4 linked regions of the Anolis sagrei genome follow. The protein of the gene in region 1 binds, or shares a complex with, the protein of each later gene. Links are inferred from orthologs where the notes say so. Each region holds a gene or a part of one and is shown on either strand. Other genes may lie near its edges. The genes, in order: RBL1, TFDP2, E2F4 and PPP2R2A.

Region 1 (7,964 bases):
CAACCCCCTCTCCCTCTCCCCCAAGAAACAACTACAAACCTATTTCTGTTCATTAGCTTATTGAGAGGAGGAATAACATACATCAACTCCATTCTAGTGGACGAAGTTGTCAACAACAATGACTGCTATTTTATCGAAGAGCTATATATTTTATACAGATTTTAACGGCTTAATTCTATTAGTTACGATACTTGTTGGATCGATTTATATGCTTTTAGCCTAAGTCGTTCAACCTGCTTTAATCGTTTAAATATCTTCATTTTATTATTGCACACGGTACTGAATGTTTGTCGTTTCATTTTGTTTATGTAACACACTCTGAGTCTCTTCAGGGAGAGAGGGCGAGTTAAAAATAAAGGTTCTTCTTATTATGTTACCTTATGATGTGCTAATTTAAGATTTGTTACACACCACAGTAAACACCAACAAAACCCAAGGGAAAATTATTATTATTATTATTATTATTATTATTATTATTATTATTATATATTTATACCCCTATTTATCTCTCCTGCAGGGGACTCCATACATAAAAACATCAGCACACAATTTAAAATATACAAATATTAAAACAGAATTATACATTATTCATATTAAAAACAATTCAGATTAAATCCATAAAAGTAAAGGTTTCCTCTTGACATGTCAGTTGAGTCCGATTCGGAGGGTGGGGGTGCTCATCTCCATTTCTAAGCCGAAGAGCCAGTACTGTCCATTGACACCTCCAAGGTCATGTGGCCGGCATGACTGCATGGAGTACTGTTACCTTCCTGCCGGAGCTGTACCTATTGATCTACTCACATTTGCATGTTTTCAAACTCCTAGGTTGGCATATAATAATAATAATTTTTATTTGTAACCCGTCCTATCTCCCCAGGGGGATTCAGGGCAGTTTCCAGAACAAAAATGGCACACATTCAATGCCATATCAAACAAGCAAAACAGATCAACAAAAATAATAATCAATAAACTGATAAACTTAAATAATAACCATTTTATCATAAATACATCTCATCATACACATTTAACATAATAAAAGAGTCTGAGTAGTGTAAATGCATTGGAAGTATGATGAGTGATGTTGTTTAAAATAGTTTAAATTATGATATACAACATAATTTTAATTTGACCTGCTGCACAATCACAGCCACCTTAAATCCATAAACATATAAAACCACAGCATTCCCTGACATGAACGTAGAAACCTCCTTCTTGAAAAACCTGCCTGAATTTTTAAAAAAATATCCAAATCAACAAAGTGGATGTAAATATGATCTAAAGCACATTATCGGTTTACAGAGAACGACGTTGAAATCTCAAATCTAAATAAATAAAAATGTAATGTTTGTTTGTGGGATTAACAGAACTCAAAAACCACTGGACTAATTGCCGCCAAATTTGGCCACAAGACACCAACTAACCCAAGGAGTGACCATCACTCAAAAAAACCCTGATTTTGTCATTTGGGAGTTGTAGTTGCTGGGATTTACAATCAAAGAGCATTCTGAACTCCACCAATGATGGAACTGAACCAAATGTGGCACACAAAACTCCCACGACCAACAGAAAACACTAGAAGGGTTTGGTGGGCATTGACCTTGAGTTTGGGAGTTGTAGTTCACCTACATTCAGAGAGCACTGTGGACTCAAACAATGATGGATCTGGACCAAACTTGGCACGAATATTCCATATACCCAAATATGAACACAGATAGAATTTGGGGAAAATATATGTTGACATTTGGGAGTTGTGCTTACTGGGATTTAGAGCTTGCTGAACCCCGCCAACGACAGAATTGGGGCAAACTTTCCACACAGAACCCCCATACTTAAGGCCATCCAGTCCAACTCCCTTCACCAGGGCAAGAAAACGTAATCAAAGCCATCCTGACAAAGACCCATCCAGCCATAGATATAGATATCTATGATTCACACGCACACACAGATATAGTATCATAGATTTGAAAGGGACTCCTAAATTAGGACAATTATATGTTGCATGTTCCAGAGTGGGCAAGCCAGACACTCTCCACATCAACACGGACAAAGAAACGGCAAGAAATACTGTTGACCCATAAGCATAAAGAAATTAAATCTATATAAATAAAAATGTAATGTTCGTTTGTGGGATTAACAGAACTCAAAAACCACTGGATGAATTGACCCCAAATTTGGACACAAGACACCTAACAACCCAATGTATGTCCTTCACTCAAAAAAATTGATTTTGTAATTTGGGAGTTGTAGCTGCTGGGATTTATAGTTCACCTACAATCAAAGAGCATTCTGAACCCCACCAATGATGGAATTGAATCAAACTTGGTACACAGAACTCCCATGACCAACATAAAATACTGGATGGGTTTAGTGGGCAAAGTCCTTTGGCTTTGGAGTTGTAGTTCACCTACATCCAGAGATCACTGTGGACTCAATGATGAATCTGGACCAAACTTGGCACGGATATTCGATATGTCCAAATATGAACACAGATGGAATTTGGGGAAAATATATCTTGACATTTGGGAGTTGTAGTTGCTGGGATTTAATAGTTCACCTACAATCACAGAGCATTCTGAACCCCACCCATGACAGAATTGGGCCAAACCTTCCACACAGAAACCCCATGTGGGCCACAACAATGCGTGGCAGGGGAAGACTATAGTGTATTAGAAACCAACTCTTTCTAATTACTTTATTTTCTAGATCAGCTGACTGGGTCACAGCAACACGTGGCAGGGGACGGCTAGTACCAAATAAAGACATAATTTGATAATATTCAAAGAGAGTCAAATTCGGCCCTCCAGGTGTTTTGGACTTCAACTCCCACCATTCCTAACAGCCTCAGGCCCCTTCCTTTCCCCCCTCAGCCGCTTAAGCGGCTGAGGGGGGAAAGGAAAGGGCCTGAGGCTGTTAGAAATGGTGGGAGTTGAAGTCCAAAACACCTGGAGGGCGGGCCGAAGCTTGAGACAGAGACAGTGATGAGGCGCTAGGCCCGGTGAGGCCTTGACAGAGGCAGGCCGAGCGAACCTCGAGGCTGTAGGTGCCCCTCAGCGCGGAGAAGTCCCGAAGGGCCTCGGCGGCGCTGCCGGCGTCCAGGTTGAGTTCCTGGCAGAGGTGGGCGAGGGCGGCACGGGCGGGGCATGGCACAGCGGGGCCCGGGCCTCCTCCTCCCCGCGGCATGGCGGCCGAGCATCCCCTCACGGCTCCTCCACTCAGCCCAAGCCATGCCCCACAGGCCTTTGCGCCAAACGCGGGAAAAGGGACTGCGCGTCATCACCGGGGGCGGGGCCTACCCTGAGCTCCTCCTCTTCCGCTCTGAGCTGAGTTCTATGCAGCATGCTCCAAAATAGTCTCTAGTAGGCTTGGGCAACCCATGGTTCTAAATGGTTCTAAAGTACTTACAAAACTAAAGTTCTGGTGGTGAAAATTTCAGAACTCTAACAAAACTTTCAAAATGTAATTCTTATTTCATTATTGGCGATTTTTATGACAGAACCAATTAGGAACTGCCATTTATAATGAAATTTTGAGAGTTTTGTTAGAGTTTTGAAATTTTCATCACCAGAACTTTAGTTTTGTAAGTACTTTAGAACCATTTAGAACCATGGATTGCCCAAGCCTAGTCTCTAGGGATGGTGTTGAAGGGTTGGAAACTTAATAAAATGTGGGCTATCCTCGTGTTTTTTTGGAGGGACAACAGACTAATGTAGATAAAGTACATTAGTACAATGGGCTGCGGTGAGATTTCCGGACTGGTTGGCCATATTCCAGAAGCACTCTCTCCTGACGTTTCGCCTCCATCTATGACAGGCATCCTCAAAGGTTGTGAGGTATATTGGCAACGAAGCAAGGGAAGGTATATATATCTGGAAGGTCCAGGTTGGGCGAAAAAACTCTTCATCTGTTGGAGGCAGGTGTGAATGTTGCAATCAATCACCTTGATTGGCATTAAAAAGCCTTGCATCATCAAGCCTGGCTTGGAGCCCCCGGTGGCGCAGTGTGTCAATTTATTTATTTATTTATTTACAGCTTTTATATTCCGCCCTTCTCACCCCACAGGGGACTCACACATATATGGCATATATGGCAGTGTACACATATATGGCAAACATCCAATGCCAATGTTTGACATACAAACATATACAGAGGCTATTTAACTTTTTCTGGCTGCCAGGGGAGCTGTCGCTTTCATCGTCCATCTGCGACGCTGATGAAGCACTTCCGCGTTCCCCGCATGCTTCCCCGCTGGAATACTTTGCTGGAGTCTTCTTTATGGCCTCATAAATCAGTTAATTTAGCCTCCCCACACTTTAAGGTGGTACCTAATTTTCCTACTTGACAGATGCAACTGTCTTTCGGATTGCAAAGGTTGACAACAGGCTACACACAATTGGTTGGAAACCCACTCCGACCTGGGCTGGCTTCGAACTTATGACCTTTTGGTCAGAGTGATCTTAATGCAGCTGTCACTCAGCCAGCTGCGCCACAATCCCGGTTAAACCCATGCTGGCAGGACTAAAGACCGACAGGTCGCAGGTTTAAATCCGGGGAGAGCGCGGATGAGCTCCCTCTATCAACTCCAACTCCTCATGCAGGGACATGAGAGAAGCCTCCCACAAGGATGATAAAAACATCAAATCATCTGGGCGTCCCCTGGGCAACGTCCTTGCAGATGGCCAATTCTCTTACACCAGAAGCGACTTGCAGTTTCTCAAGTAGCTCCTGACACGACAAAACAAACAAACCTTGATTGGCATTAAAAAGCCTTGCATCTTCATGACCTGGCCGATTTCTGCCTGGGGGCATCCTTTGTTGGGAGGTGTTAAGTCAAACTAAAACCAGGATAGTAAATAAAGAAAAACACTCTGAAAACAGGGGAATTCCAGACACGAAACAATCAGAGCCAGCTAACACCTCCCAACAAAGGGTGCACCAGGACTGTGGCGCAGCTAGCTGGGAATCAGCTGCATTAAGATCATTACTGACCAAAAAGTCATGAGTTCAAAGCCAGCTTGGGTCGGAGTGAGCTTCCGACCAATTTTGTGTGGCTTGCTGTTGACCTTTGCAGCCCGAAAGACAGTTGCATCTGTCAAGTAGGAAATTTAAGTACTGCTTATGTGGGGAGGCAAATTTAACTAATTTACGAGGCCATAAAAATCTCCAGCAAGCATGCAAAGAATGAGGAAGTACTTCATCAGTGTCACAAAATGGTCTGTGAAGGGACAGCTCCCCTGGTGGCTAGAATACCCTCATGAAAACCTGGAATGTTAAATAGCCTCTGTCTGTATATATGTTGTGTGTCTATGGCATTGAATATTTGCCATGTGTATGTACATTGTAATCCGCCCTGAATCCCCTGCAAGGTGAGAAGGGTGGAATATAAACACTGTAAATAAATACATAAATAAAATTCTCCCAAGCAATCAGCTAGGCCTTGAAGATGCAAGGTTTTACAATGCTAATCAAGGTGCTTAATTGCAAAATTCACACCTGCATCCAATAGATCAGTTCTTTTCTTCACCCTGGACTTTCCACAGATATATAAATCTCTCTTGTCTACTGTTTAGCCGTGCTCAACTGTGGTCAGCTGTGTTAGCTGTGACCAGCACTGCTGCAGAATTTGAAGAGGCATGAATGGAGGGCGAAAGAGAGAAACATGCCAAGAGGAAGGCGCGTCAAGCCAACCCCGACCGGGACCACCTTCCACCTGGAAACCAATGCCCTCACTGCGGGAGATGATGCAGATCAAGAACAGGGCTCCATAGTCACCTATGGACCCACCCGGGAGGATTATCCTACTCGGACAACAAGGGATCGCCTAAGTAAGTAAATAACTGTTTAGCCGGTACTGCATCACATGATATCCTTCAGAAAGTAGCAGCTGGTAATGAAAGGACCAAGGCATTGACATCTCCGGCCCATCCTCTGTACAGATTATCAGCCAGCATGCCAACATCTTAAATCAAGAAATAGCTTTCTAAGATCTACAGAGATAGTCGCAGAAATGCCTCAACAAGCAAGAGTCCAAAAGTGGCAGGTTAAACCCGGAAGTCAATCAATGGCTGATACTGGTTTAGAAACCTCCTCCGAAGCACACAAAAAACTGGTTGGCTTGGAAGGCACTGAATGCACTCTGGGACCACAAGATGCAGAGCCAACCTTAAGAAATAGGGCTACAAAGCAGAGTCCACAACCTGCAAGTGTGAAGAGCAAACTACAGACCTCTTACTACCATGCAGTTTGATCCCTGCCACATGCACATTGGAGGACCTGCTTACTGCAACACTAGTGGCACTCCAAGTGGCTAGCTTCCTGTCAAAGGAAATTTAGTATAATGCCAAGTTTTAAACTTTGTTGTTTGGGTTGCAGCTAAACATAAAAAAAAACCAAGATTATGGCAACAAGAATGATTGACAATTGGGAAATAGAGGGAGAAAACGTGGAGGCCATGACAGACTTTGTATTTCTAGGCGCAAATATTACTGCAGATGCAGACTGTGGCCAGGAAATCAGAAGACGCTTACTTCTTGGGAGGAGAGCAATGTCCAATCTTGATAAAATAGTAAAGAGTAGAGACATCAGACTGGCAACAAAGATCCGCCTAGTCAAAGCCATGGTATTCTCTGTAGTAACCTACGGATGTGAGAGTTGGACCTTAGGGAAGGCTGAGCGAAGGAAGATCGATGCTTTTGAGCTGTGGTGCTGGAGGAAAGTGCTGAGAGTGCCTTGGACTGCGAGAAGATCCAACCAGTCCATCCTCCAGGAAATAAAGCCCGACTGCTCATTGGAGGGAAGGATACTAGAGACAAAGTTGAAGTACTTTGGCCACATCATGAGGAGACAGCAAAGCCTAGAGAAGACAATTATGCTGGGGAAAGTGGAAGGCAAAAGGAAGAGGGGCCGACCAAGGACAAGATGGATGGATGGCATCCTTGAAGTGACTGGACTGACCTTGAAGGAGCTGGGGGTGGTGACGGCCGACAGGGAGCTCTGGCGTGGGCTGGTCTATGAGGTCACGAAGAGTCGGAGACGACTGAACGAATGAACAACAAAAAACTTTGTGTTTTTTTATACATTATAACTGTATTCTCTATTCGCTGACACAATAAATATTAGTACAGAAAGTAGCTGGTAATTACTCAGTTGCTTACACTCCTGTGTAAGAAGTATACAGTCACATGCAATTCAAAATAACGAAACCCATTCCAGAATTCCATAGCATGAACTTGCTGCAAAGCGGTATCAAAGCGTTATAATTGTGTGGTGTGTAAAATGTGATTGAGGAAACCTTATATCACCAAGGATTTAAGTTGATATGTGCCTCTCATGTTAACCTGAATTACCTATCTGGACGAGCCTACAGGGTGCTTATTACTGACAAACTTATAAGCAATAATGGAGCATACAGGGATGTGTTTACACTGGAAGATTGATGCTGTTTAACACCACTTTAGCTGTCATGGCTCAATGCTATGGAATCATGGGAGTTTGTAGTTTTGTGAGGCACCAATGCTCTGGTAGAAAAAAAAGGTTGAGATCTTGTAAAACTACAACTCCCAGGATCCCATAGTCGTTTGACAGTACTGTAGTTAAAAGCGGTGTCAACAGCATTAAACACACCCCGAGAAGGTATGGCTGATATTCAGTTCTGTATACTCTGCTGATGATAGGATGACTTGGGAGGTAGCTCATTCAGAATGTCGTCATAAGTCACCTCGACAACAGTTAACAATGTTCTTACATATCTTAGGATAGCTATAAATCAGTTTCAGAAGAACTACTGCATATTCCTTTATACTTGGTTTGTTTGTTTTTTAACACTAGCTCTGATATGCTCACATCACAATTACTTATCTATTTCACAGGCGTATGTTTTTCCAATGTAATATACTGGAAGAAAAAAAGGTTTCACTCTTGGTTTGTTTTTGTTTTTTAAATTGGTTCTTTAGCTGTACAGGATGCTT
Region 2 (7,877 bases), on another chromosome or scaffold:
CAGTGGCTCTGGTCCTTCTTAGAGGGCCGTACCCAGAAGGTGGTGCTGGGGGACCCATGGCCGTTGCTCTGTGGGGTTCCTCAGGGTTCCGTTTTGTCCCCCATGCTGTTTAACATATACATGAAACTGCTGGGAGAGGTCATCTGGAGTTTTGGAGTACGGTGTGGCCTATATGCAGATGCCACCCAACTCTACTACTCCTTTCACCTAATGCCAAGGAAGCTGTCCTGACCCTAAACCAATGCCTGCTATCAGTAATGGACTGGATGAGGGCAAACAAATTGAAACTTACTTCAGACAAGATAGAAGTACTCCTGGTCAGTCGAAAGGCAGACCAAGAAATAGGGATTCAGCCTGTGCTGGATGGGTTACCATTTCCCTAAAGACACACGTTTGCAGTTTGGGGGTCCTCCTGGATTCAGCATTCAACCTGAAGACTTTGGTATCAGTGGTGGCTACGAGGGTGTTTGCACAATTAAAACTTGTGCACCAACTGTACTCATTCTTTGAAAAGCCAGATCTGGCCACAGTGGTACATGCCTTAGTTACATCCTGCCTGGATTACTGTAACATGCTCTACGTGGCAGTGCCTCTGAAGAGTGCTCGGAAACTTCAGCTGGTCCATAGAGCTGCAGCCAGGCTGCTAACTGAGGCTGGCTACAGGGAGCAGACAACCCCCCCCCCCACCCATTGCAGCAGCTTCACTGGCTACCAGTCTGTTTCCGGGAACAATTCAAAGTGCTGGTTATGACCTTTAAAGCTCTAGACAGTTCAGATCCAGGCTATTGGGCTGATCGCATCTCCTTGTATGAACCTGCCTGAGCCCTGAAATCTTCAGGAGAGGCCCTTCTCTTGGTCCCACCTCCATCTCAAGCATGATTGGTGGGTACAAGAGAGTGGACCTTTTCCGTGGCTACCCCTTGACTCTGGAAACCCCTCCCCAGAGAACCCTGCTGTCCTTCTGGCAGTAGACTAAAACCTTTTTATTCAGGAAGGCTTTTAAATATGAAGGTTTTTAAGATCAATTCAGGGGTGCTGTGGTTTTTAACTTTGAATTTATTTTAATAGTTTTTAACTGGGAATTTAAAAATACTGTTTATATTTAATCCTGTTTTAATGTTCGCATATCTGTATATTTTAAATGGTTTTGCAGATGCTTTTATGTTAAGCTGCTTTGAGTACCCTTGGGGGGAGATAAAGCAGGATAGAAATAAATTTAATAAATAAATAAATAAATAGTTAAATGCACACAAAATTATTAAAAACTATTAAAATACTTAAATGACCACACAGCATCTCCCGGCTCGTACTTAAAAGCTTTCTTCTTTAAAAGTTTGCAGGAATGAAAAGATGTTAGCCTGCTGCTGAAAGGACAACAGGGAGGGTGCTATTCTGGCTTCACTAAGGAGAAGGTTCCAGGGGCAGCCACTGAAAAGGCCCTCTCTGGCATCCTCTCCAATCGTGCCTGGGATGGTGGTTGGACTGAGAGAAGGGACAGTTGTTGGGGTGATCCGAGAATATTTTTTACTGCAGATCCAATTTTAACCCCAACTAGGCATTGCAAGGATGAAAAAGATGCACTCAGCCACCCTAGAAATACGTCTAGGAAGCATAGGTGGTGCTGGGGAAGGGAAGGGAGGAGAGAACACAGCATATTTTAAAGCACAGTGTACTTGTATAAAATCAGAGTAACCACAGAAAGGGGGCAATTCAGACCTGACCATTCTCTCAATCAAGACTTCATACTGTTGGACTACATACAAGACCCTGCATCGTAAACAATAACTTTGGATATAATTATATTTATTTAATTTATGTTATAAAATATTTCTACATTGGAATTCATTTAGGTGGTTACATCATGTACCCAAAGACTGCTACAAGGGGCAATCAATGAGATTTGGCTCCAGAAGCCCCCCATCCCATCCCAGCCCCGTTTATACCAAAACCTGTGGATGCTCAAGTCCCATTATACAGGATGGACTTGACGGACCCAATTTGAAATCACTATCACTATAAACGCAAGCTGCTCATGAATGAAACTCTTACCACTTGAAAGGTATAGTTTTTCAAATTATTACTGCAAGATTACTCTCCCAGTATACAAACAGAGCATAGCCTCAGTCATAAGGCATTTTGTGTTCCACTATTGTCCCAATATTGTCCATAAAGCAGGTGGAGGGCGCATAGTGTTTTTATAAAATGGTCAGTAAATCTTGATAACTTGATTACTCTTTAAACTGTTGGTAACTGTTTGCGTAATTGTAACATGTTGCCATTGTGAACTGCGCTGTTTTGAAATTGGGGCCGTTATTTTGAAGTACTCTGTATTCCATTGTATATAATGGGACTTGAGCATCCACAGACTTTGGTATATAACAGTATATACACTATGTATCCTTATATAAAATGATGAAGAACTCAAACATGTACCAGCCTGAAGATATGTGAAATGGCAGGAGGCTACAGCAAGGTATGGCTACACATCACTGTTAATGCCTGGTGGCAAAAAATAAAGTTTGTTTTGGGGATTTTTTCTCAATATTTTTGAGCCATGGTTGGCTAAATCTATGGATGCAAAATGCAAGGGTGTGTGTGCGCGTGCGCATGCTAAAAATGGTAGAGGACAGTTGTTTCCATTACAAAAATAAAGTTTTTTTTCTGCTACTAGATCAAAAATCAGTGTGCACATACATCTTTTTATGGCTCTCTTGTGTAACATATAGAATAAGTGTTAACTGGATAAAATAGGCATGGTAAAATATCTGTGTATTATTATTTTGTTCTTCTACTACTGTTGGATACAAACCAATTACCTGCATTTATCAGAAATGTGATTTTTAACAAAAATCAAGTATACAGTGGGAATGTGTTGATGCTAAGCAAAGAAGCTATTGCAGGAGGAAAACAGGAAACATTGTGCAACTGTTTCTTAGTTTAACCAATTAGTACAGCTGCACAAAGCAGTTCTATTACAAAATTGCATGTATTTGGAACAGTACTTGTACTGGTGATTTGAAATAAATTTTTTATAGAGCATATTGAGAAATGTGTATTTCATAAAGTACCAATTCTGATGTTTGCTTCAGAAGCCCTTATGTACTGGCATGCAGCACAACACATTAATATATGGCAATTATTTATCCCCAGAAAATACACAAGTCCATCAATATCTTTCCATAATGAAGAAACCTATGAAAAGGTGTCTGAACATTTGTAGCTGTGAATACAGAACTGCTATTCTGTATAGTTCTACTAATTAAAAGCTGTTAAAGGGCAACAGTACTTACCATTTGGGGTCTGACATTTAAATTTACTGATGATAATGTTTTGGACAAAATCTTAGTCGATGGTAGACACTGGCAGGAATGTATTTTCTAAAAAAAAGCAAAACGTGAACCTTATTTCCTTATACTCATAACCACATAACCACTATACAAATATTTTGTCTTCTAGATATACCAGTAGCTATATTATTCAGGAGACCATCACAGCAAATAAGAAACAAATTATTTATTTAATTTATATCTCAATTTTCCTTACTACATCTCAGTTTTCCTTCTTTCTAGGACTCAGGAAAAGTGATTTGGCATTGAAAAAAACCCAAGTTATCAGGTAGAAACTGTCTGAAGTAGATTTAATTCAGTGATTTGAAACATTGCATGTAGATTTTGGCTTCTACTTTCTCAGTAATGTCTGTTGAAATGCGAGTGATAAATAGAATCTAGTCGCAGTTACCCAATTCGCAGGGCCTAGGTTTGGAATTCAGAGCATGGTATTGAATGTAAGAATGGTATTCCTCTAACATTAAAGCCACACAGTGTCAAGGTATCAAGCCAGTAGATTTAAATGGGGTTTTTTTTGGTCAAGCACAACTGGATCACTATGTATTTCTATTAGAAAGATCGCCTTGTTGGAAAGACTGTGTGTCCCTCAGAATTAAACTTTTAATCCTCCAACCCCCTCCCCAAATTACACTGTGAGTTCTTTAGAACTAAAGTGTTCCAACTTTTTGGTGGTGATGGTTGATTTATAGTGATTTTTGATTTACCATATGCAAACATCAGTAGGTCTCTCCCCCCCACCCCCCCATGAGAATCTTAGGCACTGTTTTTTAGCCACATATGTTACAAGACCACAAGGGCCATCTAGTCCACTCCCTGGAATTGAGGAACACACATTCAATTCTTGTGTCAGCTTTTCTGCTTTTAAAAATTGATATGCTCAATGCTTATAGACACAGTGATGTGATACAGCATTTTCAGTTAGCATTTTTATTTTAACTCTGATCAGCAGCCTTTTTCGGAGTAAGTGGCTGTCATAAAGCAACAACAGGAGGCTTATTTATTATACATTATATAACTTTGTGAAATCTGGTTAAATTTCTTTTAGTGGGAACTGCCTGTTCAAATTTCCTGAGGGACACCTTTTGTATTGCTGCATCACGTACTTCATTAGCATAGGTAGGAGTGGTGCCTGAACTCCTTCCCTTTCACACACACACACACACAAAATAAATCAACCATCCCCACTAAGTGTTGTCAGGGCAAAAACTAGCAGTACAATACATTTTGCTTGACAATCTCCAGCTCATCTAAGATAAAAATACAACTGAACATCAGTAGCAAAAGTCACTGCTTTAGAACAAGTTTCATTCCATCTTTGTGGTTACGGGAAGCATCTGTCCATGTGTCCAAATGAATGCTCCAGTGAAAGCTTTGATACTGGGTCCAATTAAAAATTAAAAAGTGAAGTGTTACTTGGAAACAATTTAGTTAACTTATTTAGTACAAGAACTCTGCTGTTCAGGATATTTACTACTTTAAAATAAAAATAATGTATTTTATTAATTGTTATTATTTACTTCATTTTAATCCCGCCTTTCTCCCCCCAGAGACTTGTTTAACTGATAAGGCTTGATTTTTTTGACCATTTGACATCCTATGGTAGCTTATCAAACTGAATAAAATGTTGCAATTAGCTATGGCATCTTTAAATTTAAAAAAAGAATATATGAGAAATACCCTTTAATTTAAGAACTTATATTTGCAACAACTTACATAAACTTTGTATCAGAAATGCATTTAATTCATGAATCAAGTAAATACTTTATGGATCTAAGCACACTTGGCTTGCTTCCTGTAAGTGCACATTAGACCAAATGTACATTTCTGAACAGTAAAAGGAAAGGTTATTTTCTTGCCCATAAAAGTAAGCCAGCTTAATGGCAGTTGCAGCCGAAATGATTCAAGCATCAAATGGTGCCACCCACACTGAATCATAATAACCCATAAGGTAATGGAATGCTCTGCTGTGTTTATGAGCCAACAGTAACCAAGCTCCTAGGACAGAACCAACATTTTCAAATCACAAATAGCCAAGGAAAAAACCCCAGAATTAAGATGCTCAACACCATCCAGTAAACTGTTTCTTCTGCACATACTGATTGCTAGTAATGCTTTTTTCTTGTTTCCCTCTGAATTAGTGATTTTATGTGACAAAATGCTTTGTCAGCTCTAAAATTCTGGCTTTAACTATTTTGTTTTATTTTCCCTTCATGGAGCCACAGTCAGTACCTTTCATTCAAAACTAACACCCTAAGCTATCTGGAAAGGAAAACAGTAGATGTAGTTCAATTTGGAACTCCTATTCATGTGACTAATTAGAGTAACTTCATCCCTGCTCCTGTCCCAAGTATACTACAGTTTTTTCATAAACAACATTACAGGAACAATATATTTTGCAAACATTACACTCTTATTATATTCTGTTCTAAGCTGTTGGAAGTAAAAGGTCTCAATTCTGTTTTGTAAAATACTTACATTGCAAAGAAAACCCAAACTGGTCTTTCCTCTTGTCTAAAGAAGAATGCCTCTTACTGCATCAGCAACACATCAGCCTTTGTAGCCATTCAAAGGAAACTTGAGCTGGTGAGAGACATAACAAATCAAATGCAGAGCTATGCCATTTTTAAGAGTTGGTATCTAAAGACACCGGATCTGTCTGATCTTAGAAGCTAACTAGGGTCACCACTGATTAGTACTTGGGTGAGAAACTGCCAATAAATACAGTGTGCATATGCTCTATTTCAGAGGAAGGAATTGGAAAACCACCTCAGGTTATTCCTTCCCTAAGAAAACCCTGTGGTAATGCATGAAGTTGCACATACATACACATCTAGACACAAAATCAATGCTTTTGAAAAATGCCCTCAATACCAAATGTGAGTGGGTTTACATTCTTTGTTTCTCAAAATATTTTCAAGCACTGTGGGGGTGGAGGAATGAAAAGTGGGAGAACATTAATATCTTTGGATACTGTACTACTTTGGTCATCATGCAAAGTAGTGATGCTAATATGATTTTTTTAAAAACCCTGCAAGTGCAACAGGAGCTTCCTTTACTATTTCTGATACAGTCCTTCTCACTTTCAAAGGAACAAGCACTTTTAAAACTGAATGTACTGTGACAAAAATTCCAAATAAAGTACAATTTCCCCAAAAGTTTTCTATCCATAAACATATTAGTTCTTGGGATTTTGAGATAAAATATGGAACAGTGGAAAAGACCTGGCTTGACTGATGCACAAGAAAAAATGATCCCCAACTTTCAATTATATCAAAATTGGTGCATTTATTTGGGTGAGCGGAAGTGGTAACTGAATACCAACAGCTAAATAACAGGGCCCAAGCACAAAAGTTGGACTGAAATAAGGCGATTTCATGAACCTAAACTTTTCAGTTTATTTGTTCTGGAGATTATTCTATAAGGTGGAGAGCAACTTGATGTGAGTCTCGGCCGAGGGACAGGTATCACTTCTGTGACAACTTCCTCATCTCGAGGGACAGTCCAATAGGATGCCCTTATCGGTTCATATTCTGGAAGGCCAGCCCAGGATCCCTTTCCTTAAAGCATGTGTTTTTATAATGGAGAGTAAGTTGTTGTTGTCCCAGCCAACCCTAAGAGTGATCTCTTTCCCAGCCTTCCCACAAGTCTCAGAACCTAGTGAGGTCATTCCAGGGGTAATCCTACAACCAAAAAGGAGAGAGGTGCCAAGGTACCAACTAAATTTCCCCCCACAAATCATTATCTGCATTGAGAGGGATAGACTTATTTAGGACACCACCCAAAGCCCATTTTCCCATTCCATCAAGATGCAGTGCAGGTAGGTGAAAAAACCCTTGCTAAAGGGGAAGGGGTTTCCTATCCGGCCCATTATGCAGTGAGGGCAGAAGGATTGGTCAAGCAAAGGAGGGACAGGGTGTTAACCTGCTTATATGTAATTGGCATCTCCCCCTGTCACATATTGGGGGGCCAACGGGACTGCCTAATCTCATGTGATTAGAGCTGCCCTCTGATTTGTGGAGGAATTCAGTTGGTCCTTCCATCCCTATGTAACTGTGCTGCTGTGACCTCTCTTCTATGGAAGAGAGCAGTTCCAGTGTACTTCAGAGACCTAAAAAAAATTAAATATAACATGTGACACTAAGAATCTATTGGTGGCCAACGTACACACACACACATACGGATATATTATTTCAGACTGGTTTCAGACAATTTTTCATTTAGAGATGGATGTAGCAGCTCTTCAACAATAACAGGGACAAAAAGTACTTATCCGATAGGGCTTGGATCCCCTTGATTGTGCAAACATCTTAGTAAGCCCATTTAAGATTATGTTGTCAAACGAGTAATTCTGTTTTTTAAGTGTCTTGTAAAGATTTTTTTTCCCCCAGCATATGACTGAGGTCCAAGGAGTGACACCACAAGTGACCTACTGGGTGACACCAACCTTAGTGATGCCACTACTGGACCATGTCCTTCCTGGTTCATAAAAGTAGCCAGAGGGGGTTAGATGACTGGGTAAGAGGCATAGCT
Region 3 (7,915 bases), on another chromosome or scaffold:
AAAAGGGTTGCAGCAGAGCGAAGCAAAGGCCAACTAATATTAAACATTAAGAATACCTGCTCTTTTCCATTCAGGAGCTCATGACCACAGCTGCAGTTCTGTATTTTGCTTGGAAATCTGTGGCACCTGCAGATAGGGTACCTTCCACACAGCTGAATAAAATCCCACATTATCTGCTTAGAACTGGAATATATAGCAGTGTGGACTCAAATACTGTATCCCAGTTCAAAGCGGATATTCTGGGCTATAGGGCTGTGTGGAAGGGCCCTGGGTTATCTGAGCTCACACTGCCAGATATCCCAGGGTCCTTCCACACAGCCCTATATCCCTGAATATCAAGGCAGAAAATCCCACAATATCTGCTTTGAACTGGTGCATCTGAGTCCACACTCCGATAATGTGAGATTTTCTGCCTTGATATTCTGGGATATAGGGCTGTGTGAAAGGGCACACAGTTAAAAGCAGATACTCTGGGTTACGGGGCTGTGTGGAAGGGCCCTGGTTTATCTGAGCCCACACTGCCATATATCCCAATCCAAAGCAGTTATTGTGGGATTTTATTCAGCTGTGTGGAAGGGGCCTAAGCTTATCTAGACCAGTGGTTCTCAACCTGTGGGCCCCCAAGTGTTTTGGCCTACAACTCCCAGAAATCCTAGCCAGTTTACCGGCTGTTAGGATTTCTAGGAGTTGAAGGTCAAAACATCTGGGGACCCACAGGTTGAGAACCACTGTTTTAGGGATTTTTGTATTCTTGGGGACCCACAGGTTCTCAACCTGTGGGTCCCCAAGTGTTTTGGCCTACAACTCCCAGAAATCGCAGCCAATTTACCGGCTGTTAGGATTTCTGGGAGTTACAAGGCCAAAACATCTAGGGACCCACAGGTTGAGAACCATGCCTTGGTCACCTCTAGATTGGACTACGTGGGGCTGCCCTTGAAAATGGCTCGGAAATTTCAGCTGGTCCAACGGGCGGCGACCAGGTTGTTAACTGGTGCTCCTTACAGAGAGAGGTCAACCCTCCTTTTTAAGGAGCTCCATTGGCTGCCATACATTTTCCGGTCCCAATTCAAGGTGCAGGTGCTAACCTACAAAGCCCTAAACGGTTTGGGACCTGCCTACCTGCGTGACCGCATCTCCGTATATGAACCCAAACGTTCCAGCATCATGTCCCAAACGCACTTTATTAGAGATTTAAGACTGTCTGCACATTGCACCTACCCTAGAATCCTTACATTTCACCTGTCATATCCAGCACTTTTTAACTGTACCCATTACATTTGGCCTGGCCCTAGTTTTTAAATGTGTCACGGTGTATTGTTTTATTGTTTTTATTGTTACTGCTTTTATGTTTTTGGTTGCTTTATGAGTTTTATTATGTATTTGTTATGCTGTTGTTTTACTGAGGCCTTGGCCTGTGTAAGCCGCATCGAGTCCTTCGGGAGATGTTTGTGGGGTACAAATAAAGTTAATAATGATAATAATAATAATAATAACTTAAAAAAATAAATAAGGAGAGAAATATCCCAGTTCAAAGCAGATATTGTGGGATTTTCTGCCTTGATATTCTGGGTTATGGGGCTGCGTGGAAGGGCCCTGAGTGCCAGGGATGCTTGAGAGCAGTACGTGTGAAAGAGATCTTGGAGTCCTCGTGGACAACAAGTTAAACATGAGCCAACAATGTGATGTGGCGGCAAAAAAAGCCAATGGGATTTTGGTCTGCATGAATAGGAGCATAGTGTCAAGATCTAGGGAAGTCATGCTACCCCTCTATTCCGCTTTGGTTAGACCACACTTGGAATATTGTGTCCAATTCTGGGCACCGCAATTCAAGAGAGATATTGACAAGCTGGAATGTGTCCAGAGGAGGGCGACTCAAATGATCAAGGGTCTGGAGAACAAGCCCTATGAGGAGCGGCTTAAGGAGCTGGGCATGTTTAGCCAGAAGAACAGAAGGCTGAGAGGAGATATGATAAAGGTAAAGGTAGTCCCCTGACATTAAGTCCAGTCATGTCTGACTCTGAGGTGTGGTGCTCATCTCCATTTCTAAGTTGAAGAGCCAGCGTTGTCTGTAGACACCTCCAAGGTCATGTGGCCGGCATGACTGCATGGAGCGCTGTTACCGGAGATATGATAGCCATGTATAAATATGTGAGAGGAAGCCACAGGGAGGAGGAGGAGGGAGCAAGCTTGTTTCCTGCTTCTTCCGAATCTTCCTCCAACCATTGATTGTTTTCTCTTGCCTGGCAGAAAGGGGTTGGACATGGATGGCTCATGGGGTCTCTTCCAACTCTATTATTCTATGATTCTATAGGTGGAACCTGAATAATTCCGAGCGTTATGCCCTTCAGTACGTGGAGCAAGCATACATCACAGAATCGGTGAGTGTGTCTGGTATATTGTCTAGTGTTGTCTTGCTACCTTGCGCCTCTAGAGAGGCAAGGGTGGGCTGGGGGAGGGGAAACTGGAACTTCTGTCACAGGGAGGAGGGAGCAAGCTTGTTTTCTGCTTCCCTGGAGATTAAAGACGTGGCTGTTCGAGAAGGCGTTCGAACAAGAAGTGTAATAATTGGCAATGACAACAGGAATGGAACAATGGAAAACGATATTGGTATTTTTGTATTGTTGATATTGAGATTGTGGATGTTGTTGATGACGATGTTTTGATATTGCTAGTTTGTTATTAGATTTTCTCTTGTAATTTGCACCTTATTCTCTCCATGTTGTACACCACTGTGAGTTGCCCCAGGGCTGAGAACAGCGGTCTATAAGCACAGTAAATAAATAAATAAATAAATAGGATGCGGAATAATGGCTTCAAGCTACAAGAGAGGAGATTCCATCTGAACATGAGGAAGAACTTCCTGACTGTGAGAGGCGTTCAGCAGTGGAACTCTCTGCCCCGGAGTGTGGTGGAGGCTTCGAACCTTTTAAACAGAGGCTGGATAACCATCTGTCAGGGGTGATTTGAATGCAATATCCCTGCTTCTTGGCAGAATGGGGTTGGACTGGATGGCCCACGAGGTCTCTTCCAACTCTTTGATTCTATGATTCTATGTCAGGCCCTTTGTGTGGACAAGGAAAGGTCTCCTCCTCCTCCTCTGAAGGGGAGGCAAGAGAGAGGGGGAACCCGCAAGGAGGGAAAAGAAAGCGGGCCAGAGCATCCGCTGCTGGGCCCTGATCTGCCTGATCAGCGCCGTCCTTCCCCTCACCAGCTTGAGGTCGAGCACGCCGTCCTTGGCCTCCTGCAGCAGAGACACGAACTTGGTGGTGAGGAGGCCCAGGCTCTTCTCGTGCCGGCTCGGGCCTCCCCCCGGCGGCTGGGCCCCCGACTCCGACGCCATCCGCCCGGCCCCGCGCCGCTTCCGGGATCCCGCTGCGGCCCCTCGCGCTGACCCTTCCGCCGCTTCCGGCCACCGCAGGGCATGATGGGAGGCGGCCAGAAAGGGAGGCGAGGGATAGGTGGAGCTCGAGGCCCCGCCCCCTCCACGAGGCCTCACCCCGCCCCCTCTCCACTAGGCCCCGCCCCTTCGCCTCGAGAGGAACATCAGCCCCGCAGCGACCCCTGCTGGGCGCCCGCGCTTTTCGCAGGCAGTCCCCTCTGAGCCGCGAGGGATTTTCAGGGACTGCGCATGCGTGAAAGTATTCCACAGTGTATTGTCGAAGGCTTTCATGGCCATTGAAATCCACAAGCATGTGGACAATTTCAACAGAAAGGAGGAAACCATGAAAATGAAGAAAATCTGGCTACTCTAAAATTACAACAGCAAAACAACAGAGGAAAAACAATCAGGCACATCTAATCACCTCTCAACAAAAGATTGCCCCAGGCACTGCCAGGCCATTAAATGCTAATAAAAGTGGTCTGATTGTTTTTCCTCTGTTGTTTTGCTGTTGTAATTTTAGAGCTTTTTGGATCATTACAGATAGGCCTGGTTGCTTTCCTGCAGATTTTAGGGATGTCTGTCGCACAAATGTAATGGGGAGCTTCTGGATTAATGCAAAATAAGCAATAAATCACACCTTATGTTTGTATGTATGTGTGTATATATATGCGCACGCATGCACCCTCATACATTTTGTGATTACAACTGATGCATATTTCCATAGTAGTAACTATGGAAAAACAATAAAAATACTTTTAAAAAAACAACAACTGATGCATATGAGGGTATCACAGGGGGTTAGCTTAACGTCTGGTTCGTTAGTAAAACTAAATTGCTGTATCACATCATGATACACGTCGAAGCAAGGTGAAATGTTTGGAAAGGTCTGACCTAGAGATCCCTATAGATCTCTAGATCCTCCACCATGACATTATGGACAATGCGCAGTGGAAATTGAACACAGAGTTGCCTTGGAAGGAGGACCAAGCAATTTTTGGGGAAAATATTTTGATGAATTAATCCAATCCACCACCAACCTGTAAACGTGGAGGCTCAACCGTATTTCTGATTTTGGAATTCTGGGTGATAATAATAACAGTAACAAGAACAATATATATATTTTTATTTATATCCCATCATATTTCCCTGAGGGAACTCAGGGTAGTTTACAACAGATATCGGCAAACATTCAATGTCATAATAGGATGAGCGCCGCTCAGCCTGTATTTGTATTTTGGCACCATTGCAAAGACCCAACAGGATTGGGCAATGCTGTTATTATTATTATTATTATTATTATTATTATTATTATTATTATTATTATTATTATATTTATTTACACCCTGCTTTCTCTCCCCTGAAGGGGACTCAAAGTAGCTTGACATCAAAGAATCAGCATCAATGCTAGTATCTCCTCGTTCTGTTGGAGGCTTTAAGCCCTTGGGAGCCACGAAAGGACGACCGCCACAGCCAAGGCGAGCAGCACCGCCGTGCACCAGAGCCAGTGCTTTGATGCTGCATTACTGCCCACCCTCCGCCCGTGGCCATGGGACCGGAACCACTGAACTGCATCCTCAAGGCTGTACTGCCGAGGCTCATAGCCCAGCTCCCTCTTGGCCTTCTCTGGGCTGAAGTAGTGGGTCACACCGGTCTTGTAGACCTCAGTGCGCGTGAGCAGCGGCTGGAAGTTGTATAGGTGCCGCACTGCCAAGTGAAGCATTTCTGTCAGGAATGCAAAGAAGTAGATCAGCGAGAGGGGGAGGCGGAGCGTGGGGAACGGGTAGCCCAGGCCTTCCACTAGTGGCTGGAAAAACTCAAAGTTGTTGACCGGCCGGCCATCGGAAATGAAGTAAGCCTGTCCAGCTGCCCGGTGCGCCTTGCTGGGCCCCAGAGCCTCTGCTGCCAAAATGTGTGCCTGCACCAGGTTGTCCACGTGCACAAAGTCCACCTGGCTCTTGGGGTCTCCATACACAAACCGGAACCATCCCCGCTCCACATAACGGACAATTCTGGGCAGGTGCCTCTGCTCTCCGGGGCCATAGATGCCAGCTGGCCGCAAGGCGCATGTATGCAGGACCCCCCGGCCAGCCCCCCGCAGAGGTGTCCCGTTGGCACCCAGCACCTCCATCTCGGCCTGAGCTTTGGTCCTGGAGTAGTGGTCGGGGTGCAGATGCAAGGGGAGGTAGGGCAAGGACTCGTCCCCACTGTGCACCACCTGACCCCCAAAGACCACGTTGTAGGTGCTGGTATACACCAGCCGCGGGACCCCTGCCTCTCGGGCTGCACGGAGGACGTTGCGTGTCCCACCCACGTTTACGGCTTCAATGCGCTTCCGGCTGAGCTGTTCCCGCCCGGACATCCCGAAGGACGCAACATGGAAGATGCAGGTGACCCCTCGGAGTGCTTGCTCCACCTCGCAGGGGAAGCGTACATCGCCGCGCACGAAACGCACACCTTCAGGCAGCTCTGGGGGGGACTCCGATGCGTCGAACAGGACCACGTCCACGCCCTTCAAGGAGAGGGAGCAGCCCAGCCTGCAACACAAAGAGGGAGGGAAACCACCTTCAGGACCAAGGCTCTCCCTTCATCAAAGCAGGGAGATTCTCCTGCAAATGCAGAACCCATTTTATTTATTTATATCCTGCTTTTCTCCCCCATTGGAGAGTCAAAGTGGCTGACAGCAAGGTATAAAACGTAACAGGTGTGTCTATTTCCATTTATTCCACACTGCACACCTCATGGGCCATCCAGTCCAACCCCATTCTGCCAAGAAGCAGGAATATTGCATTCAAATCACCCGACAGATGGCCATCCAGCCTCTGTTTAAAAGTTTCCAAAGAAGGAGCCTCCACCACACTCCGGGGCAGAGAGTTCCACTGCTGAACGGCTCTCACAGTCAGGAAGTTCTTCCTCATGTTCAGATGGAATCTCCTTTCTTGTAGTTTGAAGCCTTTGTTTCACGTCCTAGTCTCCAGGGCAGCAGAAAACAAGCTTGCTCCCTCCTCCCTGTGGCTTCCTCTCACATATTTATACATGGCTATCATATCTCCTCTCATCCTTCTCTTCTTCAGGCTAAACATGCCCAGCTCCTTAAGCCGCTCCTCATAGGGCTTGTTCTCCAGACCCTTGATCATTTTAGTCACCCTTCTCTGGACACATTACAGCTTGTGTCCAGCCTACAGGGACCTAAGTCCAAAAGACTTGAAGGGAGGGCCCAAGTTGGCCCATGCCTAGTCTCAACTGAGCACATGACGCTGTTTCAGAATGTGAGGATGGGGCCCAGGAAAGTCGCCCGAGCTCCCTCAGGAAGAGACTGCCTGGCGCTAGGCACACTGACCGGAAGCCAAAGTACCCGGCTCCACCGGTGATGAGGACCGTCTCCCGGGCGGGGGCGCGGGCCTCTTTCTCCTCCTTGTCCTCCTCCTCCGCCATGTCCAGCCTTTTGGCCCCGTCTGGGGACTTGTTGGCTCCTCCCATCAGCCCCTGCAAAGGGAGGTGAAAAGGGAAAGAGGAAATGACACGGAATTGAAAATGGAAGAGAATACAATCTATATAAATAAAAATGTAATGTTCGTTTGTGGGATTCACAGAACCTCAAAACCACTGGACGAATTGACACCAAATTTGGACACAAGACACCTAACAACCCAATGCATGTCCTTCACTCAAAAACATTGATTTTGTCATTTGGGAATTGTTGTTGCTGGGATTTATAGTTTACCTACAATCAAAGAGCATTCTGAACTCCACCAATGATGGAATTCAACCAAACTTAGCACACAGGGCTCCCATGACCAACAGAACACACTGGAAGGGTTTGGTGGGCATTGACCTTGAGTTTGGGAGTTGTAGTTCATCTACATCCAGAGACCACTGTGGACTCAAACAATGATGGATCTGGACCAAACTCTACACAGATACTCAATATGCAAACAATGATGGATCTGGACCAAACTTGGCACGAATATTCCATATGCCCAAATATGAACACAGATGGAGTTTAAGGGAAATAGACCTTGACATTTGGGAGTTGTAGTTGTTGGGATTTATAGTTCACCTACAATCAAAGAGCATTCTGAACTCCACCAATGATGGAATTGAACCAAACTTGGCACACAGAACTCCCCATGACCAACAGAACACACTGGAGGGGTTTGGTGGGCATTGGCCTTGAGTTTTGGAGTTGTAGTTCACCTACATCCAGAGATCACTTTGGACTCAAACAATGATAGATGTGGACCCTACTCTACACAAATACTCCATATGCCCAAATGTGAACACTGGTGGAGTTTGGGGAAAATAGAATCTTGACATTTGGGAGTTGTAGTTGCTGGGATTTATAGTTCACCTACAATCAAAGAGCATTCAGAACCCCACCAACGATGCAATTGAGCCAAACTTGGCACACAGTTCTCCCATGACCAACAAGAAATACTGGAAGGGTTTGGTGGGCATTGATCTTGAGTTTTGGAGTTGTAGTTCACCTACATCCAGAGAGCACTGTGGACTCAAACAATGATGGATCTGGACAAA
Region 4 (8,625 bases), on another chromosome or scaffold:
AAAAACTGGGGAAACATATTGACTCGAGTATAAGCCGAGGGTGAGAAATGAAGCTGCTACTGGTAAATTTCAAAATAAAAATAGGTAACAATAAAATTACATTAACTGAGGCATCAGGAGGTAAAATGGTGTTGAATATTTACATAAAATTGTAATTTGAGATAAGACTGCCCAACTCTGATGAAATCATTATTCTAACCTTCTTCAATATAAATGTATTTATGTATCCTTCCAACAATAACAGAGTAAAATAATGAATGTAATAATAATAATAATAATAATAATAATACAAAGTAAAGTAATGGAAATGCAATAATAACAGTAAAATAGTAAATGTAATAATAAAGTAATAAATGCAATAATAATAAAATATAATAAATGTAATAATAATCATAATAATAGAGTAAAATACTGTAAATGTAATAAAATACATAAAATAAAAATACTAATAACAGAATAAAAGAATAAATAGCCTTGACTCGAGTATAAGCAGAGGGGAGCTTTTTCAGCCTAAAAAAAGGGCTGAAAACTAGGCTTATATACAGTATTAGACATATTTTGTTTTAAGGAGACAATGGATCAAATGCAAAATAACCATTTGACACAGTGCATGCAGCATGAATCACAGAGCTTCTCAAAAACAAAGCAATTCTCAAACAAAGGGTTTTTTTAGAATAAGTTCTGAAAATGACTCAAGTCCTGGCTACCTAGTATGCATAGCATCCCCTAGTAATTATATTCCAAATGCATGATAGACTTTCAAGATTTGAAGGATACTATCAAGGATCAGACAACACTGGACTTGTCTGACTGTTTCTTGCTAGAAAAACATATCATTCAATAGTGAATGTGTACAGAGCAAAAATTTGTGTCTGTATTCATTTACTAAAAGGAAAATGCACTGACATCCAGTTCAATTGCAAACAAAGATAGTCTTCATCACAGCTGGCGACTACAAGTGTGATGTATTTAGAGCACAAACAACAACTCTGTGATCATGCAGATACCGCTCGATTACGACATGCAATGTTGAGAGATGATGGAAGTTGTAGTCATGGTATAAGGAGGATTTCTCAATCTTTGAGCTAAATGCAAATATCACAGCACCTGGGAGGCCTCATGCTCCCCGTTTCACATGGAGCACAGATGACACTAAAAACTGCTGTCCTACATTGAGTTGTGCCCCTCTCCTCATCATGTATTCTCCATCTCCCATGACATTACACCAAGCATTTAACTCCATATGCTAAAAATTGTACTGCAATTTAAAGTCTCCTCAGAAAATGTATACAAAGATGGGAGAAGCATTAAATATAGGTTAACTTGAAGAAAACAACATAACAGTTCTTCTGAAAAATAAATTTTACATAACTTGTGTGATGTTTCCACTCAGCATCATGTGTGTCAAACTGGGTGGCTTATTCAGCTATATCAGAAAGTTGTACCAAGTTACTGGCTATAAGAGTGTTGGAATCATAATCTAGGACCTTTAGAGATAAGCACATTGTGAAGGACTAATCTAACTACATATCCAATTTCTTAGAATATATTTGAGGATGGATGCGTTGTCAAAGGATGGATATTATCAGGATATATAGTAATATATACTGACATTGTACTATGCTAATAATATAATATATTGTATGAAAATATACATTCTAAGCCGCTCTGAGCCCCTTCAGGGTGAGAAGGGCGGCATATAAATGCCGTAAATAAATAAATAAATATTCTGAACACTTGCTGTTCACATATGGAGATAAGGAACTAAAACTTGGGTGAAACAAGGAGATTTCAAGAAATACTTAATAAAAGGGATAGTACTAAAATAATTTCACTGCTGATAATATTGCTCACCTAAAGACACATAATTAAGTAGCCTGATATCACATGGAGCAACGAGGTAAAAACCCAGGGACTGTATATAGAAAAGCTGCTGTGTGACGCAAGGTTCAAGCTTTCACAATTTACTGTTGACACAAGGAATACAAACTTGGGGTGACACAATAATAATAATAATAATAATAATAATAATCTGGAAAAGCTGACACAATATGAGGATTTAAACATCGAACTGCAAAGACTCTGGCACAAGCCAGTCAAGGTGGTCCTAGTGGTGATCGGCACACTGGGTGCAGTGCCTAAAGACCTTGGCCTGCACTTAAACACAATCGGCGCTGACAAGATTACCATCTGCCAGCTGCAGAAGGCCACCTTACTGGGATCTGCATGCATCATTCACCGATACATCACACAGTCCTAAACACTTGGGAATTGTCCGATGTGTAATCCAATACAACAGCCAGCAAAGTGATCTTGTCTGCTGTGGACTCATCTTGTTGTGTTTCAAATAATAATAATAAACTTTATTTATACCCCGCCACCATCTCCCCAATGGGGACTCGGGGCGGCTTACATGAGGCCAAGCCCAACAGAACATTACAATAAAATAAAACCAGAATACAGAACAATCAACACAGTAAACTAAATAAAACATGAGAATACAATAAACAATAATTTCAAGTAATACCTAATAAACTACCAGTACCAGAATCCTACTGCTGTTAATAATACAAACAGGTTAAATCAGATCTTGTTCTTACCTTCTGCTACATCATCATCCACAGCCCCTTTCACCTGAGAAAAACACCACTGAATGTCATTCCCGCCGCCACCGGCTCCTAGAAACAAAACAAAAGTTAAATAAAAGCTGGGCAACACCCTGGTTATTAAGCTTGACTGCACAATGTTAGCATTCCAGTCTGATACCCAGCGATTGTTGGCAAGGATAGGAAATGTAAAGGGAGCACCCACCACGCCCACAAAGGCGAAGAGTATTTCCAAAGCAGAAAGTTACTTGCAAGCTCTTCTTATTGTCCCTCAACACAGCCCACAACATTTTTGTCACTAGGGATGTGTCCAAATGAACACAGTCGCAATCAGTTTCTCTACAAAGACAGGTCACAACTACTCAACTTCATAAGCTGTCACACTCTGAAGATACACAACACACAATGCATGACTGCTCTTCTTACAAACCAAACTTTCTCTCACACACAAACTTTGGAACTTTACTTCTAAGTTACTAGAATCAGGAGTGAAGCAGCATAAGGGAACATTTTTTTAATTTGTTGACAACTTCATTTCTGCCATTTACAGAAAGTAGAACAAGAATAAAACTTAAGATTGTTGTTATAAAAGAAATCTATAATTCTGAAACTTGAAGAAGTCACCTCAGTTACAAATAAACTTGAAACTACCGTAAAAGATGGACCGGAGAGAAAGCTTCAAGAACATTCCTGCCCCGGCAGAAGGAAGGCGGTGAATCATTTGAACCTTCCACCCAAACATGCCAAAGACACGCCACCCATTTCTTGGACATGTCATTCGGAGCAAGTCATTGGGTAAGGCTCGTGGAGGAAGCTGAAAGGCAGTTATCAAAATGGAGCTTTCCCTGAATATTTCCCCTGAAAACGAAGATGTGTGTGTGTGCGTGTGTGTGAAAACAGCTGCGTAACCGTGGCATCTTGACCAAGGGGATGGAGCAAGAGAGGGAGGAGTTCCTCCCTTCCTTAAAAAAAACAACAACAGCAACAATCAAGCAACTTAAGAAAAAGTTCAAGCCAGAAGGGGAAGAGTGGTCACTCCATCGCCACACAGCCATCAGAGCACAGGAAAAGCGCAAACAATCCACAAGTGTTCTATTTCCATCTTCCTTTGTTACTTTGTGAAAAGAAAACGTTGCTCCCTATTTGGGCACCACGCTGAACTGGAAAAAAGGTATTTTACTTTGTAATTATAGTTCAATACACTGATTCAAAACAACCTTGCCGAAGAGGTAAACAAGGCCTCCTGAAGATTACAGTGTGTTTTCTATACATTTCAAATTCTTTTCTTCTTTTTTTTTTAGGGGGGGGTTTAAGACTGCATTTATACCAGGCATGGGCAAACTACCAGCTGTTAGGAATTGTGGGAGCTGCAGTCCTAAATACCCAGAGACCCAAAGTTTGCCAAGGCTTGATCTACACCAGGGGTCTTCAAACTTTTTAAAGAGAGGGTCAGGTCACAGTCGCTCAAACTCTTGGAGGGCTGGATTATAATTTGGAAAAAAAATTCCTATGCACACTGCACATATCTTATTTGTAGTGTAAAAACACTTAAAATAATACAATAATTAAAATGAAGAACGATTTTAACAAATATAAATGTATTAGTATTTCAATGGGAAATGTGGGCTTGCTTAAACTCTTGGAGGGCCAGATTATAATTTGGAAAAAAATGAATAAATTCCTATGCACACAGCACATATCTTATTTGTAGTGCAAAAACACTAAAAATAATACAATAATGAAAATGAAGAACGATTTTAACAAATATAAACTTATTAGTATTTCAATGGGAAATGTGGGCCTGCTTTTGTTGATTAGATAGGATTGTTGTTGTGTGCTTTCAAGTTGTTTCAGACTTAGGTTGACCCTGAGCGAGGGATGGATAAATGAACTTTGAGGGCTGTATCCGGCCCCCAAGTCATAGTTTGAGGATCCCTGATCTACACTATAAATTGCATCTACACTATTGATATTAGGTTCTTGTGGGTTTTTTCGGGCTATAGGGCCATGTTCTAGAGGCATTTCTCCTGTTTCGCCTGCGTCTATGGCAAGCATCCTCAGAGGTAGTGAGGATGCTTGCCATAGATGCAGGCAAAACATCAGGAGAAATGCCTCTAGAACATGGCCCTATAGCCCGAAAAAACCCACAAGAACCTAGTGATTCCAGCCATGAAAGCCTTCGACAATACTATTGATATTGTACTATGCTAATAATACAATATATTGCATGTATATATATCTTGTAAGCCGCTCTGAGTTCCCTTCGGAGTGAGAAGGGTGGCATATAAATGTCGTAAATAAATAAAAAATAAGCACATTGCAAACTGAATGTAGTTCAACAGCACTTGGACTACCATTGCTCTTTGCAATGGGATACTGGGAGTTAAAATTTTGAAAGGTCCTAAGCTTTGGGTTGCTGTGAGTTTTCCAGGCTTTATGGCCATGTTCCAGAAGCATTCTCTCCTGACATTTCACCCACATCTATGTCACGCATCCTCAGAGGTTGTGAAGTATATTGGAAACTATATTATAATAATAAATTTTATTTATACCCCGCCAACCATCTCCCCAATGGGTACTCGGAGCGGCTTACATGGGGCCAAGCCCGGACAACATGTTACAGCAAAATAAAACTAGAACAGAAATTATATTAGAAACTAAGGGGAAGAGGGGGAAAATGACAAAATACTAATTATAAAGAAATAAAGTATGTATAAGTAGATAAAAGGTGTGTGGTAGAGGTATACATAGTATAAGGTGTATGGAAAGTTTTAAAAAGATAAGAAATATGTTTAAAGATGTTTTTGATTCTTTTTTACTGTTAGATTGTATATAATATGACATACTCTTCTGTCTACGATGTTGTAAAAAGTGGGAAGAATGTATGCTTATGCATTTTGTTTGATAAATTTATAAATAAAAATTTTAAAAACTTCACAAAAAAAAAAAGAAACACAACCTCTGACGATGCCTGCCATAGATGTGGGCGAAACGTCAGGAGAGAATGTTTCTGGAACATGGCCTTACAGCCCGAAAAACTCACAGCAACCTAGTGATTCAAGCCATGAAAGCCTTCGACAATGCGTCCTGAGCTTTCTCTGCCAGAGTACTACACAAAATTATTACAACTCCCAGGATTTCGTAGCAATAGGCTGTGGCAGTCACAATGGTGTCAAACTGTGTTAATTTGACAGTTTAGATGCACTCATGGAAAACGGTTAGGGTGGTTTTGGACTAAGGACACTGGGAAAGCCGAGTCTGAATCTCCATTCAGTTGTGGAAAACAATTTTAGGTAAGCCACACTCTCTCAGCCTCAGAAGAAGCCACTCTGAATAAATGCAGGCAAATCCCATTGACGGATTTGCCTGCAGGAGAAAAATAACTCATGCAGAAAACGCGGGGTTTCTTTGGCAGTACTCACAACCTCCCTCCATTCAAAGCTTTCTTGGTGGAAAGATTGGAGACAAACACAAACCTCAACACAAACCTCAACACAAACCTCAACACAAACCTCAACACAATCTGGCCCATGTTGCCAGATTCTGAATCTTTGTGTTTGTGAACAGATTGCAAGGTAGAGAGGAAACTGAAGAAGGGTTTGCAGAAGGGTGGATCTTTTGCATTTTCAAACCATGCAAGCTCAACAAGCTGCAATTTCCTCACAGGTCTCAATCTCTCTGTGAGAAATCCTCCAGATGTTGTGTTGCATGGAAATGATGAACCCGGGTCAGCCATTCATACATGCTGCCCAATCTAAAACTCATTTTTTGCACCCAAAGCTATTACATGTCTTGTAAATCAACAAGCTGCAATTTCCACACAGGTTTTATTCTGTCTGTAAGAAACCACCAGCATGGAAACGATGGACCCAGGTCAGCCATTCACACATACATCCCAATCCAAAACCCGCACTTTGCAGCCAAAACTGTCAAGTGTCTTGCAAATCAACAAGCTGCAATTTCCACACAGCTTTCAATCTCTCTGTAAGAAACCCCCAGATTGCATGGGAATTATGGACCCAGGTCAGCCATTCACACATGCAGCCCAATCTAAAACTCGCTTTTTGCAGCCAAAGTTGTGAGTGTCTTGCAAATCAACGAGCTGCAATTCCCACATAGGTTTCAATCTCTCTGTAAGACATGCCCAGGTTGCATGGAAATGATGGACCCAGGTCAGACATTCACACATGCAGCCCAATCTAAAACTCGCTTTTTGCAGCCAAAGTTGTGAGTGTCTTGCAAATCAACGAGCTGCAATTCCCACATAGGTTTCAATCTCTCTGTAAGACATGCCCAGGTTGCATGGAAATGATGGACCCAGGTCAGCCATTCACACATCTAAAACTCGCTTTTTGCAGCCAAAGCTCTTAGTGTCTTGCAAATCAACAAGCTGCAATTTCCACAAAGCTTTCAATCTCTCTGTAAGAAACACTCCAGGATATGCCATGTTGCATGGAAATGTTGAACCCAAGTTAGGCATTCACACATGCAGCTCAATCAAAAACTCGCTTTTTGCAGCGAAATCTGTTAGTGCCTTGCAAATCAACAAGCTGCAATTTCCACACAGGTTTTAATCTGTAAGAAACCCTCCAGGATTTGAAATGATGGAAATGATGAACCCAGGTCAGCCATTCACACATGCAACCCAAGGTAAAACTCGCTTTTTGCAGCCAAACCTATTAGTGTCTTGCAAATCAACAAGCTGTAATTTCCAAACAGCTTTCAATCTCTTTGTAAGAAATACTCCAGGATATGCCATGTTGCATGGAAATGCTGAACCCAGGTTAGGCATTCACACATACAGGTTAATCTAAAACTCGCTTTTTGCAGCAAAAGCTGATGGTGTCTGGCAAATCAACAAGCTGCAATTTCCACACAACTTTCAATCTCTCTGTAAGAAACAGGTTGCATGGAAATGATGAACCCAGGTCAGCCATTCACACATGCAGCCCAATCTAAAACTTGCTTTTTGCAGCCAAAGCTATTAAGTGTCTTGCAAATCAACAAACTGAAATTTCCACACAGCATTCAATCTCTCTGTAAACAAAAACCCAGGTTGCATGGAAATGATGAACCCAGGTCAGGCATTCACACATGCAACCTAATCTAAAAGTCTTTGTAGCCAAAACTGTTAAGTATCTCGCAAATCAACAAGCTGCAATTTCCACACAGCTTTCAATCCCTCTGCAAGAAACTCCCCAGGTTGCATGGAAATGATGGACCTGGATCAGCCACTCACACATGCTGTTAAGTATCGTGCAAATCAACAAGCTGCAATTTCCACACAGATTTCAATCTCTCTGTAAGAAACTCCCCATGTTGCATGGAAATGATGGACCTGGATCAGCCACTCACACATGCTGTTAAGTATCTTGCAAATCAACAAGATACAATCTAAGTCTTTGTAGCCAAAACTGTTAAGTATCTCGCAAATCAACAAGCTGCAATTTCCACACAGGTTTCAATCTCTCTGTAAAATAACCCAGGTTGCATGGAAATGATGGACCCAGGTCAGCCCAATCTAAAACTCGCAGGCTGCATGGAAATGATGGACCCAGATCAGCCATTCACACACGCAGCTCAATCTAAAACTGGCTTTTTGCAGCCAAAGCTATTAAGTGCCTTGCAAATCAACAAGCTGCAATTTCCACACAGCTTTCAATCTCTCTGTAAAAAAAAAACCCAGGTTGCATAGAATTGATGAACCCAGGTCAGGGATTCACACATGCAGCCCAATCTAAAAGTCTTTGTAGCCAGAACTGTTAAGTATCTTGCAAATCAACAAGCTGTAATTTCCACACAGCTTTCAATCTCTCTGTAAAAAAACCCCAGGTTGCATGGAAATGATGAACCCAGGTCAGCCATTCACACATGCTGTTAAGTATCTTGCAAATCAACAAGATACAATCTAAGTCTTTGTAGCCAAAACTGTTAAGTATCTTGCAAACAACAAGCTGCAATTTCCACACAGGTTTCAATCTCTCTGCAAGAAGCTCCCCAGGATGCAAGGAAAAGGTAG

What was found.
Region 2: RBL1 (region 1) and TFDP2 share a complex: the UniProt entries of both Homo sapiens proteins name them as parts of the DREAM complex. The link is inferred for Anolis sagrei from reciprocal best matches to the Homo sapiens genes RBL1 and TFDP2.
Region 3: RBL1 (region 1) and E2F4 share a complex: the UniProt entries of both Homo sapiens proteins name them as parts of the DREAM complex. The link is inferred for Anolis sagrei from reciprocal best matches to the Homo sapiens genes RBL1 and E2F4.
Region 4: the proteins of RBL1 (region 1) and PPP2R2A are in contact, whole or in part, in a cryo-EM structure (PDB 9C6B), measured with the Homo sapiens proteins. The link is inferred for Anolis sagrei from reciprocal best matches to the Homo sapiens genes RBL1 and PPP2R2A. Residues at the interface, in NP_002886.2 of Homo sapiens: Ser615, Pro616, Leu617, Met618, His619, Pro620, Arg621, Val622, Val625, Arg626, Ser629, Leu632; in NP_002708.1 of Homo sapiens: Lys88, Tyr178, His179, Asp197, Leu198, Met222, Glu223, Glu224, Leu225, Thr226, Glu227, Val228, Ser247, Arg278, Ser279, Phe280, Phe281, Ser282, Glu283, Ile284, Ser287, Tyr337, Phe343.

Annotation. Positions count from the first base shown.
Region 1 is NC_090024.1:207,662,463-207,670,426, reverse strand, and holds the start of RBL1 (retinoblastoma-like protein 1), read right to left. Parts: upstream 3,253-7,964; 5' UTR 3,181-3,252; coding exon 3,028-3,180; intron 1-3,027. UniProt on the Homo sapiens protein: Key regulator of entry into cell division. Directly involved in heterochromatin formation by maintaining overall chromatin structure and, in particular, that of constitutive heterochromatin by stabilizing histone methylation.
Region 2 is NC_090023.1:236,981,359-236,989,235, forward strand, and holds the start of TFDP2 (transcription factor Dp-2), read right to left. Parts: upstream 3,366-7,877; 5' UTR 3,294-3,365; coding exon 3,291-3,293; intron 1-3,290. UniProt on the Homo sapiens protein: Can stimulate E2F-dependent transcription.
Region 3 is NC_090028.1:21,145,337-21,153,251, forward strand, and holds the start of E2F4 (transcription factor E2F4), read right to left. Parts: upstream 3,424-7,915; 5' UTR 3,341-3,423; coding exon 3,209-3,340; intron 1-3,208. Other genes in the region: SDR42E1 (short-chain dehydrogenase/reductase family 42E member 1), read right to left, coding at 4,815-5,916, 6,720-6,859. UniProt on the Homo sapiens protein: Transcription activator that binds DNA cooperatively with DP proteins through the E2 recognition site, 5'-TTTC[CG]CGC-3' found in the promoter region of a number of genes whose products are involved in cell cycle regulation or in DNA replication.
Region 4 is NC_090027.1:6,822,922-6,831,546, reverse strand, and holds the start of PPP2R2A (serine/threonine-protein phosphatase 2A 55 kDa regulatory subunit B alpha isoform), read right to left. Parts: upstream 3,400-8,625; 5' UTR 3,385-3,399; coding exon 3,258-3,384; intron 2,679-3,257; coding exon 2,601-2,678; intron 1-2,600. UniProt on the Homo sapiens protein: Substrate-recognition subunit of protein phosphatase 2A (PP2A) that plays a key role in cell cycle by controlling mitosis entry and exit. Involved in chromosome clustering during late mitosis by mediating dephosphorylation of MKI67.